Canis lupus familiaris: one gene and its partner. Each later gene encodes a partner of the first gene's protein in a complex. Links are inferred from orthologs where the notes say so. Each region holds a gene or a part of one and is shown in the gene's direction. Other genes may lie near its edges. The genes, in order: EXOSC8 and EXOSC5.

Region 1 (7,529 bases):
CAAGTCAGATGCTTAACCCACAGAGACACCCAGGCATCTCTGCCAGTACTTTTTGATTTATACTCAAAGCCATGAAACAGTGATACGTATTTGCTGTGTTCATCTCTTCAGCACTCAGTCATCAGTCCACTGTACTATGGTCCATACCCTTTGCTTTTCCACATTGCTTTTCTATATTATCTCTCTTCATCAACAGCACCCTCTTTATTTTTTATTTTATTTTATTTTGATGTAGGTTCCACACCCAGTGTGGAGCCCAACATGGGGCTTGAACTCACAACCCTGAGATCAAGACCTGAACTGAGATCAAGAGCTGGATGCTTAACCAACTGAGCGACCCAGGCGTCCTACCCGCCCCCCCCCCCCCTTTTTTTTAAGTAGGCCCCATGCTCAATGTGGGGCTTAAACTCACACTCTAAGATCAAGAGTCACATGCTCTGCTGACTGAGGCAGCCAGGCACCCAATAACTTTCTCCTTTGGACCCTAATTTCCATAGGGAATGTGACATTATTCTCATCTGGTGTTTGCATTCCTGACAGACCAGCTTCTATTTTTTTCTAGCAGCTCAGTAGCTATAGGTCTAAGAACGCAAGAATGTGAGAGGATGATACTCTAAGACACTTGTTACCTTCCATAGGTAAATCTGGATGGAAGTATGCTAAAGGACATATCTGATACCCAGTGCCAGATATGAAGGCATCCTATATTTGCATATTACTTTAGAAACTGTAAGGCAAGGTGGAGCATAAAGAAAAAAAATTGTGTTTAGGAAAAAGGAACCAAATATTGATAGGCAAAGAAGGTTCCCAGTGGCCATGGTGAATTGTTGTGCATGTTTTCTCCTGACTTGGTGATCTTCAAAGCTTCCCTGGTCTTAAGGAGTGAGGAAACAGCAGGTATATTTTCCAGCTTTCCATTGATGAAATTTCTGTTTTGGCTACTCATGCTGTAAAGTAGAGGGTGCTGACAACAGCTTTAGCATTCTCTGATGAGTTGAAGTAAGACTTAACAACTGCAAATTATTCTATTTCTTTTCTACCTAGTAGCAATCCTAAAAGCAAGTTTACTTACTTTTGAAGTCTGGTCTTTGCTGCCATCATCAACTACTATCACCTCATAAGTGAACGTAGGATCTTGCTTCTGCAAGAAACAAAAATAAAACACCACAATTTGGCATAAGTGGCATCAAGAATTCTGATAAAATTGTAAGGAGTTTAAATAACAATTGTTTTAGTGTGATGCATATTAACATGAATATAAATAAGTATGCAAACCACATAAAATAAAAAGGCCAACAACTAAAAGGAGGAGAGTGGTGGGACAGGAGGAGAGGGCAAACACCGACTCTTGCTCCCCCCTTGACTGCCTACCCACACCGAATCTGTGGAGTAGCCAGGTGCTTGTGGTGCTGAGCACTTATGAGAGAGGATACAAATATGTATGAGAAAAAAAAGCCCATGAGGTTAGAATGTGCAATTCTAATCTGGCCACACTATTTCTAACTTATGATATTGGATGAGTTAGAGTTTTAGCCTGTTTTCTCATTTAAAAACCCCCGCCAGACCAAAAAAAAAAAAAAAAAAAAAAAAAAACGGACCAGCCACAAAGCTCATTTTGTTTCCTTAAACTCTCCAAGAAGATTCCAGCAGCAGCTGATGATACAAAACAAGGACACATACTATTTTTCTTCTATTTATGCAGGGAAAGTAGAGAAAATAAATGAGCGGAACTCCTCTGAATAATAAAGAAAAACAATTTCACTCTAAGTCTTTTTCAAATAAATGTTTTAAAAAGTCACTAAAGTAAAAACAGCATCGTGTTGCCACACAGTCTGCAGACATACTTAATTTTAAATATATCATCAGGCAAGAGCATACAAAGTGGTTGGGAGGGTACATAAGAAATTTCTGCTTTCCGTTTGTTCTGGGTTCACCCACCTGCGTGCGTCTGGAGGTAGCGTGTCATGTGCTGGGCTTGCATGCTAACCCGTGATGGAAGGGGACAAGCTGAGCACAGGAGGCCCTGGTGACCTCGACGGCTTGGGCATGGCTGGCACTGCCTCTCTCAACAGATCTAGCCTGGGATCTCTAAATTGGTGATTTAGTCTAGTTTTAACTAGGGACATCATATTGAAAGAGAAATATGGTACCTGTCTCTTTTCCAGATAGCCCAAAGCTTCATCCATCATTACAGGCACTTAAAGAAAAAAAAATACATCTCTGAAAAATTGTTTTCGAAAATGATTTGCCAAGCCCCCACTCAGTTTACATATGGAAAAAGTCTGAATAGTCTAACAGAGCCCTCTCGGACCTCTTCCAGTGGCCCTTCCCAACTAGAAGGCCTGTTTTCTGTCCACAACTAGCTTAATGTCTCTCTAGAACACTTCAGTCCTATGACTTCATGATGCTGACCGTATTCTTTATAGCTGGCATTTGTTTCCACTCTCATGAACTACAACTACCAACTATGCACTCATCAGAGCCCACATCTACTAATGTTCTCACAAAGATAGTAAAGTTCATACTTTAAATTTCCTTTTCTTCCCAATGGCCCCATATCCCAAAAATGAAATTGGGCTTACACCGTTTTTCTTCATTGTATGAAGGCACAACAACGGAGAGCTGTTTGGTAGGCGAGTCCCATACGCTGGGCAAAGTTTCCTTCTGTCCTTTGGCATTTAAGAAGAACTTCTCCTCTTCATGTTGATGGAGATGTGGCATTTTTGTAGCAGTTATAAATGCAACAAAGGAAATCTAAAAGTAGGTATGTTAACAAGAAACTATATTATGTAAGATTACATCATTTATGTGATTTTTATTGTTGTTGTTAAATGTTCACTCTCAGTTTTTAGTCCATTAAGAATGGTCTGGAGGTGACACCAAATTCAAATCCCTTACTTATGAACTAATAATTGTCCTTCTTCCATTGGTAGGAACTAATGCCTTAGGAGCTGTGTCTTCCCACCTGTCATCCCTAGGCCTCTGTCATCCCAGATTTAATAGGGAATAGTCACCAGAGAAGTGCAATCCATTTTAAGATGCCCTGAATCTCCAACCCCTGGCTAATGATGACAACATTCATTTAGCATTGTTTTAAAGATCGCACAACATAAAACATTGAATACAATACCCCCAAATTATAAGTCCTCTATAAATGTTAGCTTTTTAAAAAATTATTTTATTTTCATTTATTCATGAGACAAAGAGAAAGGCAGAGAGACATAAGCAGAGGGAGAAGCTGCCTCCCTGCGGGAAGCCCAATGTGGGACTCGATCCCAGGACCCCGAGATCACGACCTGAGCCCAAGACAGATGCTCAACTGCTGAACCACCCAGGTGCCCTAAATAGTAGCTCTTATAATCACAAGCTGGTAGGATCAAATACTTCCAGTTCATCCTCAAAATGCACCCATTTAATTCTATAAAACAGATAGATCAAATAAACAGAGTCAATTTAGGATTCTGTCAAAACTCTGCCCCCACCAAAAACCTGAGAAAACCTTGAAATCTCCATCTACCCCTAACGGAGAGAGAGGACTCCTTTCTGACCCCGACACAAATCACCGAAGAAGTCAGGACACGTTGCTTTTTCTCTATAAGTTATTTCTAAACTGTGAAGTGTGCAAACCCGGCAAGGCGGAAGAACGGCCTTCCCAGCAGTGCTGTCAGGGGGGCTAATCTGGGTGTCAAGGAAGCTGGAACCTCTCCACGTACTAACTGGATGGCAGGCTCGTTCCAAATTATAAGGGAGAAAGCTCACTTGGCAAACCATTACTAATGAATCAGCAAGTGCTTACAATGTTTGTTTCCAGAGTGATGGCAAAGAAAATCCGAGTCTCAATTCTACTGTGCCCTCCTTTAGAGGCAGCGAATTTAGGGTGTTTAATCCCGGGTCATAGGGACTGCCAGACAACGGTAACAGCAGGCCTGCGTGCCTCGGCCTTACTGTGTCCCTCCTGGGTCTTCTTGATCCACTGATTCACCCCAATCTCTAGCAGATGGCTCTCGTCAAAGCTGTCACCACCTTCTAGTTGCTTCCCCGCATCAGGAGGGTCAGTCCAGGGAGCGCAAACCTCCTGGGGGGGCTCGAGACCTTCCCGGGTGCAGCCGGAACTGCACAGGCTGCAGATGCAGGAGGAAGGGGTGGAGAGGTCGGGACTGACAGGGCAGAGGTCGGGGGCGGCGGGGCCGGTGGAGGCTGACGGGGGCGCACGTCCCCCGGGGAACCAACGTTACAAGGGCCTGGCCGCAGAGGGAGGTAACGCTCCAAAATAAAGACAAAGAAGGGAAGAAAGGGGCTGTGAAGTTCTAGGAGAGGAAATCCTGGTCAAGTTTCGGGGGAGAGCGTGGGGGGAAAGGGACGCGTCGAAGCGTGCGGGGCAGAGGACAGGCTGCGTGGCGGCCGAGTCTCTGAGAGGACGGAGCCCAGGCCCGCGTCGGTCCCCAGCCCTCTGCTCACCAGCGTCAGGGCGGCGGCCGCCAGCGCCACGCCGAGCACAGCCAGCTGCAGCAGGAGCGCAATCATCGTCCATACCCGGCTGCCGCGCGCCCTCCCCAGCGCCTACACACACGCGGAAGCGCCGCCGCGCAGCTCCGCCTCCCGCCGGCAGAGCGGCCGAGCCCGCCCGCCGCCCGCCGCCCACAGCGCCCCTCGCGGCCAGGCGGCGCACACGCCGTCCCTGGCGGCCAGGCTCGCGCGCAGAGGCGGGCGCCGGGTTCCCCGCAGGGCTGACAGAACCCGCAGGCACACACAGGATTCCACCCAGTCGGAATTTCAGGTAGGCAGTGAGCGGCTTTTCGACAGCCGTCTTAAGACAGCACTCACGCACCGTGCAATCCACCCATTAAAAAGGTTTTATTGTATTCCATGAGTCTTTAAAAACGGAGACAGCATAAAATTTGCCATTTTAACCATTTTAAGGGTACGATACGGTGGTATTGGTTACATTCACAATTTCCTGCACCCATTATCTATTTCTAAAACATTCTTCGCTCCCAGCCGCCCCCGCCCCCCGCCCCGTAACAACTAATAACATGTACTATTTGGGGTATACTCATAGTGGGGAAAAATTAGCTTGTGTATCTGACATTAAAAATTAATTGGATGTTCTGTATTCCGTCTGGCAAACCTACCTAGGAGGGAGGTGACGGCTTTGAGAACAAACGCAGCCCACGGCACAAGCTGCTCCTCAGGAGCCCCTCCGGGGGCCCGCAGAGTGTACCGCGGGGCGATCACCAGCGCGCACAGAGTTTACGTGATTGCTCAGCAACTGGAGCTCCAGGGAGCCCTTCCCTTGGGGTGAGGCACGCCCAGGGCCCAGCCTGAGACAGAGGCGGGAAAGGACGCAGGAGCTCTGGAATAATGCCCCACACTTAATACTCACTCAATTCCTGGCAATAAGGTCGGCTTTCCCTTAAACTCCTGAGCTAGCATACCGTTTTTCTAAAGAGACACACCCGTCTCTTTCCCAATAGCAGATTCGACAAAACGCGTCCGAGGCCAAGAAGCCTAGAGGCGCGCTGGGCTCCTCCGAGCGGAGGCGGAACGAGAACCCCCTCGCGGCCACCAGCCCTCGGCCTCTGCAGCAGCGGACGAAGGGCGCAGGCGCGTCTGTCGAAAGTTTGGAGGCGGGGTAGGCGCGCGGCCCGGGGGCGCGGCCTCGCCTGGCGCAGGCGCACGCGCGCGGGCGGGAAGATGGCGGCCGGGTTCAAGTGAGTGTGGGCGGCCGGCGGGCGCGTGTTTGTACTCTGGCGGTTGGAGGCTCCCTTTAACCCTTCGCTGGGATTTTTTTTCACCTGGAGGCCACCCTGCCAGATTCCGGTTTGTTTCCGTCACGGCAGTAGGCGACGGGCAGAAGGACCTGGAGGTGGTCGTGGCGAAAGGAACGGGGGCTTTTTCTCCGCAGTCCGACGGAAGATGGAAGGGACCGTGTGCGGAGCTCGGGGCCGAGGCGAGCGCCGCTGGCGTGTGTGGCGGCCGTGCGGCCCCAGGAGCCCGCGTCGTAGCCTTCTCATAGGTGTTCTGGCAGAACCACGTGCCGCTCTGTTCTCCCTCTCCCTGACGTCCTTCTAAAAGGATTGTGCCTTGTTGGGAAGGTTTTACTTGAGCCTTTTTTTGGTGTCACTCTGGGGAAGCCCGTAAATTTTTGTCCTCACAAATTTTTCATTGGGTAAACTACATAAGATTCCACAGGAAGACCGTCGTATTGACGCAGTTATCTATTTGCAGAAACTCTCGAGTTATTGATACAGTGATATATATGTGCTCCTTTAAAAATTAGCATTCTTAAACAAGCTCTAGCTAGTGGGGAGTCTAGGAACTCCTGAATTCCAGAGTAACGCGTCTGCACGTGACCTTCGACAACTATAAAGTAAAAACGAAAACATTTAACCTCTGTGGTTGTTAAGTTGCAGGTACTAATATAAAGGCTTCTTTCCTTGGTCATAATTAAAGAATATGCTAAGTTTCAGTTACAGGACACTGAAAATAAAGATGTAATTTTTCCTCATGTTGAGATAATCCCTGCTTCAGAGCGAAAGTGACATCATTATTTTGTAATAATTGGATTAATTCTTCCAAAGATGTCCAAAGGCTCGGGCTCCAGCCTGTGTTTGTTTAAGGTAGCGTTAAGGACAGCAGTTGAGTCTGATTACGACTGCAAGAGCACCTTTTAATAGTTGTATGGGGCAGCATAAACATCAGAATTCATGAAAGGAAGTTACAAATTGGGGAAATTTATGCTGCATCCTCACACTCCTAAGATCTTTGCCAGTTTCTGGATTTATGTTAAGATGTACTAACTTACCTCAGATACGTTTTTAACATGTTTCAGGACTGTGGAACCTCTGGAGTATTACAGGAGATTTTTGGTGAGTAAAGGTTATGTGTATTGTACCTTTTGATAACAGTATCATGTGCATCTTTTCAAATTATGTGAATTAACGAGGTTTAATGTGTTTTTCTCTGGTGTGTGTAAAGTATAAATGTAATCCATTTTCATGTAAATGTCTATTTAGAAAGAGAACTGCCGTCCTGATGGAAGAGAACTTGGTGAATTCAGAACCACAACTGTCAACATAGGTAAGGATATTTTGAGTTCTAAAATAGGTTATTGAAGTTGCTTCAGAATTTTTCTGTTTTTAAAGCTTTTATTTATTCATGAGACATAGAGAGGCAGGCAGTTGACATAGGCAGAGAGAGACGCCGGCTCCCTGCTTGGGAGCCCACCTCAGAACTCCATCCCAGAACCTCAGGATCACGCCCTGAGCCAAAGGCAGACGCTCAACTACTAAGCCAACCAGGCATCCCTCTTTTTTTTTTTTTTAAATAGAAGTATTCTTTTTGGTGGTTTTTAAAACTCACTGTTGTGTCAATTGTGTCAATGTTCTTCTTTTAAATTTTGAAGTAACAGTAGTGTTTTATCCCTTCTTTCTTCAAAGCCTCCAAGATACGTTTTTTTTTATGTCTTATTAAACTTTCTGTTCGAAACACAGAATTTTCCAGTTTAACTTGTATGACATTCCTGAGTT
Region 2 (7,508 bases), on another chromosome or scaffold:
TAAATAACATTTTACGGTGCCCAGGTGGCTCAGTCAGTTGAGCATTTTGCCTTTGGCTCAAGTCATGATCCCAGAGTCCTGGGATCCAGTCCCACATCACCTCTGGCTTGCTGCTCAGCAGGGAGCCTGCTTCTTCCTCTGCCCCTCACCCACCTGTGCTCTCACTCTCTCAAATAAATAAATAAATAAATAAATAAATAAATAAATAAATAAATGAATGAATAAATAAATCTTTTTAAAAAGTAAGTGGGGGGACGCCTGGGTGGCTCAGCAGTTGAGCATCTGCCTTTGGCTCAGGGCATGATGCCGGAAACCCGGGATCGAGTCCCACATCGGGTTCCCTGCATGGAGCCTGCTTCTCCCTCTGCCTGTGTCTCTCATGAATAAATAAATAAAATCTTTTTCAAAAAATAAGTGGGAAAAATAAAAGTGGGGAAGAAAAAAAAAAAAACAAAGACTATAAAAATATATAAATTTAGGGCAGCCCCGGTGGCGCAGCGGTTTAGCGCCGCCTGCAGCCCAGGGCATGATCCTGGAGATCCTGGATCAAGTCCCACGTCAGGCTCTCTGCATGGAGCCTGCTTCTCCCTCTGCCTGTGTCTCTGCCTCTCATTCTCTCTCTGTGTTTCTATGAATAAATAAAACCTTTTAAAAATTTTTGTTTAATATATAAATTTAAAATAAAATATAATAAAAGGTAGATATCTGAAAGACCCCCTCCAAAACCCCTATCCCATCACCCACCAAAAAGAGGGGAGTCAAGAGGGAAAAGTTATAGGGAGAGGGAACCAGGAAGGAAACATTTAATCAGCCTCAAATGACCTTTACCTACTTTCTGCCCTAGTCCTGCCCACCTCCTCCCCACAGGCCCAGCCAATGGACTAAGAAGGACTGGGATTGGCCAGGCAGGATCTGATTATTCCAAAAAAAGTGACAAAGAACCGCCTAAAGGCACCAGGCTACCCCACCCCCAGCCTGCTCCAGGAACCCTCCCATAATCACCTGCTTTGAGGACTCCTTTTCCTACCTATTCTCCCTCCTCTCAAACCTGGCCCATCCTCTCTCCCCAACTCCTTCCCTGCTCTTCTCCCTAAAGTGTCTTTCCCATAGATTCTATCTTCCTTCCCTAATGAATTAGGGAATCAGAGGGTCAGACCCAACCCCACAAAATCTTGGCGCTTTTCCCTCCAAGGGCCCTCACCTGTTCAGGTCCGACCAAGGTCACCTCCTTTCTTCTCCTGATCTCCAAGGTCAGTTTCTCTCCCTTCCCTCCACCCCCACTTTCAACAACAGTGACCAACATTCCTATTGCTTGTATCAAATACCAGGTCCAGTTCTCAGCACATTACATACTTGATTTTTACCACAACCCTACGAGGTGGTCAGTTAGCATTATAGAAAGGGGAACGCGCCCCTCTGTTGAGGTCCGGAGGGGCAGTCCTCTGTCCAGCATGTGGGGGACAGGAACCCGCCTTCCCAAACACTACTCTCTGACCTGGGAAATTTCAGTTCATGGTTCCGCAGCCCAAGGCCTCTCTCCCACTGAACGAGCTTCTAAGTTAGACTTCCGCTGTGTGAACTTACAGTTTGCAGCATCAACCCAAGGGAATTCTGACACTTTTGATAAGAATTGAGGCATCTCTCAAGTGTTACCCAGAAATGTGGGTGGGATGACCAGGTGGCTCAGTGGTTGAGCGTCTGCCTTCCGCCCAGGTCCTGATCCTGGGGTCCTGGGATCGAGTCCCCCATCAGGCTCCCTGCAGGGAGCCTGCTTCTCCCTCAGCCTCTCTCTGGGTCTCATGAATAAATAAAATCTCAAAAAAAAAAAAAAAAAAAAAAAGAACAATAGTAAAACAAACGCAGCGCACTATAAAAGCCCGCGTCGGAGAAGCTGATCTCTCTTTTCTCCTTCCTGAGGGGGAGCCACACCCGGAAGCCTCAGCCTCGGGCAGTCGCAGTCTCCAACGCCTGCGGGGCAATGTCTCGCCGTCCCACCGTGTCCCTCCACGCGGCCTCCCGTGGGCATGAGTGGCAACTAAAGCGGAACCCCTTCTCTCTCTCCAAGTTGTCTCCCTCTCTCCGGGCCCACAGAGGAGGCTGCCTCACTTCTCCTCTCCTGAGGGAGTGGAAGTTCTTCCCGAATGTCCTCACGGAGCAGCTCTCTCAGCCCCGGTCCCCTCTGTGACAGCCCTTCGCTCACTCCCTGCACGAACCCCACGTCGGAAGACGGCGTTGACATCCCTATTCTCCCTCGGGAAAAACTCCCCAGGTACTCACAGATCTAGCCAGCCCCCGAGCCCAAGGCCGGCGCAGGAGCAGGAGACCAGCCTGGCCCAAACCTCGACTCGAGCCCCAGACCCTCGCTGCCGCCGCCGCCACCGCCATCTTGGCTCACAACCCCTCAGAGCTCCGCCCCTCTCCTCGGCTAGACTGGGGGCTGCCCCTTCAGGAGCCTGACTCAAATGCTAGCACCGCCCTGCCAAGAAACCACCAGCGACCCACCCTGCAGTCTCCAGGGCACGGGTACGGGAGGAACAAACAATCTAGCTTGCCAAAATTACTCTCATCACCTCATCTTAGTTGTTTCTGTAACAGGCAAAGGAGAGGACAACCTGACCAGAGCCTTAGGGCTTTAGGGCGCGGGGGCTTCGGGTAGGACGAGTCCATGCCAAGGCCCGCCCTCTCTTCGCTACTCTCCAATGGGCTTGCGAGGCGGGAGTGGGAGGGGCCAGATTGTTAGTAAACGCGGAGCCACGTGCGGGAACGGGTCCTGGCGCCCCGGACCTGCGCGTGCGCACTGGGCACGCAGGCTGGACGCCCGCGCGCGCTCCCGTGCGGAAGCGAGGTTCCGCAGCGGCACGTGGGGTCTGGGGCGATGGAGGGGGCGCTGCCGGCGGACGCCAAGACCTGCGCGGAGTCTGGAACAGAGTCCGGCCCTCGGGGCCCGGGCTGCAGCCTCCGGCACTTTGCTTGTGAGCAGAACCTGCTGTCCCGGCCGGATGGCTCTGCCTCTTTCCTGCAAGGTAAGGACTTACCCTAGGCAAATACTGCCTGTGCCACGTTCGCCACGTTGTATTTGTTTCGGAAGGTTACAGGTTACCGTGCAGAGGAGTGCCACTAGCTGGTAAGTGTCCCTCCTGCACGGGTGGTGCAGTTCTTGCCCGGGAGGATACTCCCGGATATGCCGGAGTAACGTATCCTGCGCTCCCGGCTAGAAGGGAGACGGTATCGCCACCGTGGTAAATACTCCGAGGAGAGAGGCGCTCAGCAGAGTAAATATCTCCCTTGATTAAATTCGTCTCCCGCCTCCCCCGCGGACACCCCGGGTCCATGCACGCCAGGCTGCGGCAAACCTGCCCTTGCGCGTAAATAGACCCGCAAATCAACACTACCGGCTTCATTACTCTCTGGACTGCGGGCATGTCTTTTTGTCCAGGTAAATACTTTTCAGAGTATTTGAGAGTGATTGTGCGGTATATATCCCTTTGACAGCAATACACATCTCTCCATACGTGTAAATATCCCTAGGTTTGGGGCAGGCTTTCCCTATTGGGTAAAATATCTCCTTCCCGTGACCAAATGCATCTCAGCTCCCTGCCCCGGGTGAATATTCCTCTGAAGATAGCCTAAGAATCACCCCCATAAATGCTTCAGCCTCCTCACTAGGGGCATTACCTTCTACCCAGGTACAAAACCTGTTTTCATTCATTCCTTCATTGAACACGTGTATTCGCATTAAGCACTGTCCTGGGTCCTGGGAATACGTGGATAAAATACATTTTATTTTATTTTATATTAATTTTTACTTATTTATGATAGTCACACAGAGAGAGAGAGAGAGAGGCAGAGACACAGGCAGAGGGAGAAGCAGGCTCCATGCACTGGGAGCCAGACGTGGGATTCGATCCCGGGTCTCCAGGATCGCGCCCTGGGCCAAAGGCAGGTGCCAAACCACTGCGCCACCCAGGGATCCCAATAAAATACATTTTAAAGGGATGCCTGGGTGGCTCCACGGTTTGGCTCCTGCCTCCGGCTCCCTGCATGGAGCCTGCTTCTCTGTCTGCCTCTCTCTCTCTCTCTCTGTCTCTCTCTCTGTCTTTCATGAATAAATAAATAAATCTTAAAAAAAATTTTTTTTTAAATCCCTGACTTAACAGTTTATGTTCTAGTCGAGGAGACAGACAAAAGATAAGTAAAATATGTAGGAAGGGGATCCCTGGGTGGTTCGGTGGTTTGGCGCCTGCCTTTGGCCCAGGGTGCAATCTTGGAGTCCCGGGATCGAGTCCCGCGTCAGGCTCTCACATGGAGCCTGCTTCTCCCTCTGCCTGTGTCTCTGCCTCTCTCTCTCTCTCTCTCTCTCTGTCTATCATGAATAAATAAATAAATAAATAAATCTTTAAAAAAAAAATATGTAGGAGGGCAGCCTGGGTGGCTCAGCGATTTAGCGCCGCCTTCAGCCCAGGGCGTGATCCTCAAGACCAAGGATCAGGTCCCTCATCGGGCTCCCTGCATGGAGCCTGCTTCTCCCTCTGCCTGTGTCTCTGTCTCTCTCTCTCTCTCTCTCTGTGTCTCTCATGAATAAATAAATAAAATCTTTAAAAAAAAATATGTCGGAAGATGCCTATGGAGAAAAATTATAGTAGGGAAAGGAAATAGGGTGTGCCAGAGAGGGTTGCGATCTTAACCGGATAGTCAGGAAAGGCCTTGATGAGATGGTAACATTTGAATAAAGACCTAAAGGTAAGGGAGCAAACCTTGAAGATAAGCAGGAGGAAAAGCATACCTAGGATGAAGAACTGCAGGGGCAGAGGCCCTGAGGCAAGGATTTGTCTGGTGTGTTTGAGGAATAGTCTGTAGACTGTGTGGCCAGAGCAGTGAGGAGGCTGGGGAGAGCTAAGGAGGATTGCTTGTCATGTGATGCATAATGAATGAGCTGGGGGCCACTGCTTCCAAGTTTTGCTCAGAGGGTTGACATGATCTGGATATATTTTAACAGAATCTCTCTGCTGCAGTGTTGACTGTATAGATATGAGAAAGAAGGGGAGATGCGGTGGCTCAGACCAGAGTGGAAGCAGTGGAGGTGGTGAGATTCTGGGTGTATGTATGTTGAAAGTAAAACACAAAACTTGCAGATGGTTCAGTGTTGGAGTGTGAGAAGGAGAGGGATAACACCAAGATTTTTTTTCCAAATCAGCTGTACTGGGAGATAAGGAGTTCAATTTGGAACATTAAGTTTGCAGTGCCTGGTGGACATCACAGTGACTATATGGACAGGGCAATAGGATATAGAAGTCTGCATTTGGGAGGAGAGACCCAGGGGCGCCTGGGTGGCTCAGTCAGTTAAGCATCTGCCTTCAGCTCAGGTCATGATCTCAGGGTCTAGGATCCCACCCAGCATCAGGCTCCCTGCTCAGTGGGGAGCCTGCTTCTCCCTCTCCCTCTGCCTGCTGCTCCCCCCTTGTGCGCGCTCTCTCTCTCTCTCTCTGTGTCAAATAAGTAAATAAAATCTTAAAAAGAGAGAGACTCAACCTAAATATATAATTTGGAATTCTCTGGCTATAGATGGTGTTTCACACTATTGATTGGATGAAATAAAGAGAACAAGTGTAGGTGGAAAGAGAAGAGGTCACAGACTAAATCCAGGGTTGTCTAACCTGTGAGGAGCTAGGAAAAGACCAGAGAAAAGCAGCCAATAAGGTGGGAGGAAAACCCAGAGAGGACACTGACCTCAGAGGGGCTCAGAGAAGTGTTTGAGATGTAAGGGCCCACCAGCTGCATCCGTCCTCCAGACCTGTCGGTGGACAGTCCGGACCTATGTCATCTGTGATGCTGTCAAGAGCTGTTTGGTGGAGTGGTGGGGTCAGGGAGGAGAAGAAGACAGCAAGTCAGACTTGTCTTTGAGAGCTTTGCTGGAAGAGGATCAGATAAATGGGGCAGGAGTTGAAGATGGATGTGGATCCAAAGAATATAGAATTCCTTGAATTGCTCCCGAAAATTGCTGGGGCCATGTCCCTGAGAAGATGAGAGGGAGGATCTCCTAGGTTCATGGGGGCCACAGGCAGCTCATCCAGAAAAGAATGAAGAGCAACGTGTGGATCTCGTCCTGTGTGGTTAAGTTCCCCTCTGAGGGCAGATTCTCCTGGAGCCAAGAGAATCCCTCAGCTCTGGTGCAGCTCCTTCTCCCCAACCCAGGAAACATGCCCTGACCCTGGGGACCTTCCCAGGCCCTCCTGGAGACTTTGCTCTTCTGCTAAAATCATATGCCTGGAGTTTCTTAGACTTCAGAAACACTGAGGAGGGTTAACGCCTTCCACGTTCTAAAACTCCCAAACTCTGGGACCCCTGGCAGACCCTGGAAAGTACGTCCCACCCGCCTTTGGCCTCCAAATCTCTGATGGGGTTGTTAAAAAGGCAGGGTCCCAGAATCCACCGCACACCTGCTAAGGCTGGCCCCTCTCCATCTGTAACCGCTGCAGAGATTCTGTTTGCAGTGTTTCGAAGCTGTGCTCAAGCGCTGTTTTTCCCACTGCAGACTGTGGGCCCAGCTGCACGTCAGAATGACCCGTGGGAGCTCTTATGCTCCCAGTGCCCATGCCCCACCCGGCAGCTGAATTAGGATCTCTGGGGGAGGGGGCTGGACGTCTTTTCAAGTGCCCCGGTGATTCTGAGCGTGCAGCCAGGGTTCAGGACCACTGCTGCGGTTGGCAGTACTTTTTAACTGGAATAGAGTAGGGGCGCTTGACGGACTCTGTCCAAGGAGCGTCCGACTCTCGATCCCAGGGCTGTGAGTTTGAGCCCCATGTAAAAATAAAATCAAAAAAGTAAATAAGTTGGGACGCCTGGGTGGCTCAGCAGTTGAGCATCTGCTTTCAGCTCAGGGTGTGACCCTGGAGTCCTGGGATCGAGTCCCACATCGGGCTCCCTGCATGGAGCCTGCTTCTCCCTCTGCCTGTGTCTCTGCTCCCCCCTCCCCCCGCCCCTGTGTGTCTCATGAATAAATAAATAAAATCTTTAATAAATAATAAATAAATAAAAAGTAAATAAAATTAAATGAACTAGAGTAGAGTAGAAAGCATTAGAGTGTCAGAGCAGTGATGGTAAGAGGCGTTTTATGAGGCCTTTGTTGCGTGTCCACACATGGAGATTTGCATGAACTTGGGGTGGTGCCAGAAAATACATTTTTTAATTGAGAGTTATGGCAAGAAAAGCTTCAACAGCCACTGGTGTAGTTCAGTCTCTTCATTTTGCAGATGGTAAAACTGAGGCCAAGAGAAGTGAGTACAATCAGCCAAGGTTACAGAGCTAGCAAGAAGCAGGCAGGACCAGAAGTCAGGGGTTTTGGGGGCTTTCTTTGTTTGGTTTTGGATTTTTTGAAGATTTATTTGACAGCAAGAGAGAGCGTGCATGCTTGCACAAGCAGGGGGAGTAGGAGAAGGAGAAGATCAGCCCACTTGGGGCTCGATCCCAGGATCATGACCTGAGCCAAAGGCAGATGCTCAACCGACTGA

Evidence for each region.
Region 2: EXOSC8 (region 1) and EXOSC5 share a complex: the UniProt entries of both Homo sapiens proteins name them as parts of the RNA exosome core complex. The link is inferred for Canis lupus familiaris from reciprocal best matches to the Homo sapiens genes EXOSC8 and EXOSC5.

Annotation. Positions count from the first base shown.
Region 1 is NC_049246.1:3,767,867-3,775,395, reverse strand, and holds the start of EXOSC8 (exosome complex component RRP43), read left to right. Parts: upstream 1-2,738; coding exon 2,739-2,764; intron 2,765-3,796; exon of another isoform or gene 3,797-4,320; intron 4,321-4,458; coding exon of another isoform or gene 4,459-4,531; exon of another isoform or gene 4,532-4,599; intron 4,600-5,132; exon of another isoform or gene 5,133-5,586; intron 5,587-5,651; exon of another isoform or gene 5,652-5,694; coding exon of another isoform or gene 5,695-5,711; intron 5,712-6,832; coding exon 6,833-6,869; intron 6,870-7,016; coding exon 7,017-7,080; intron 7,081-7,529. Other genes in the region: ALG5 (dolichyl-phosphate beta-glucosyltransferase), read right to left, coding at 1,073-1,141, 2,151-2,197, 2,583-2,754, 4,459-4,524. UniProt on the Homo sapiens protein: Non-catalytic component of the RNA exosome complex which has 3'->5' exoribonuclease activity and participates in a multitude of cellular RNA processing and degradation events.
Region 2 is NC_049222.1:113,381,728-113,389,235, forward strand, and holds the start of EXOSC5 (exosome complex component RRP46), read left to right. Parts: upstream 1-2,784; 5' UTR 2,785-2,875; coding exon 2,876-3,023; intron 3,024-7,508. Other genes in the region: BCKDHA (2-oxoisovalerate dehydrogenase subunit alpha, mitochondrial), read right to left, coding at 2,278-2,385. UniProt on the Homo sapiens protein: Non-catalytic component of the RNA exosome complex which has 3'->5' exoribonuclease activity and participates in a multitude of cellular RNA processing and degradation events.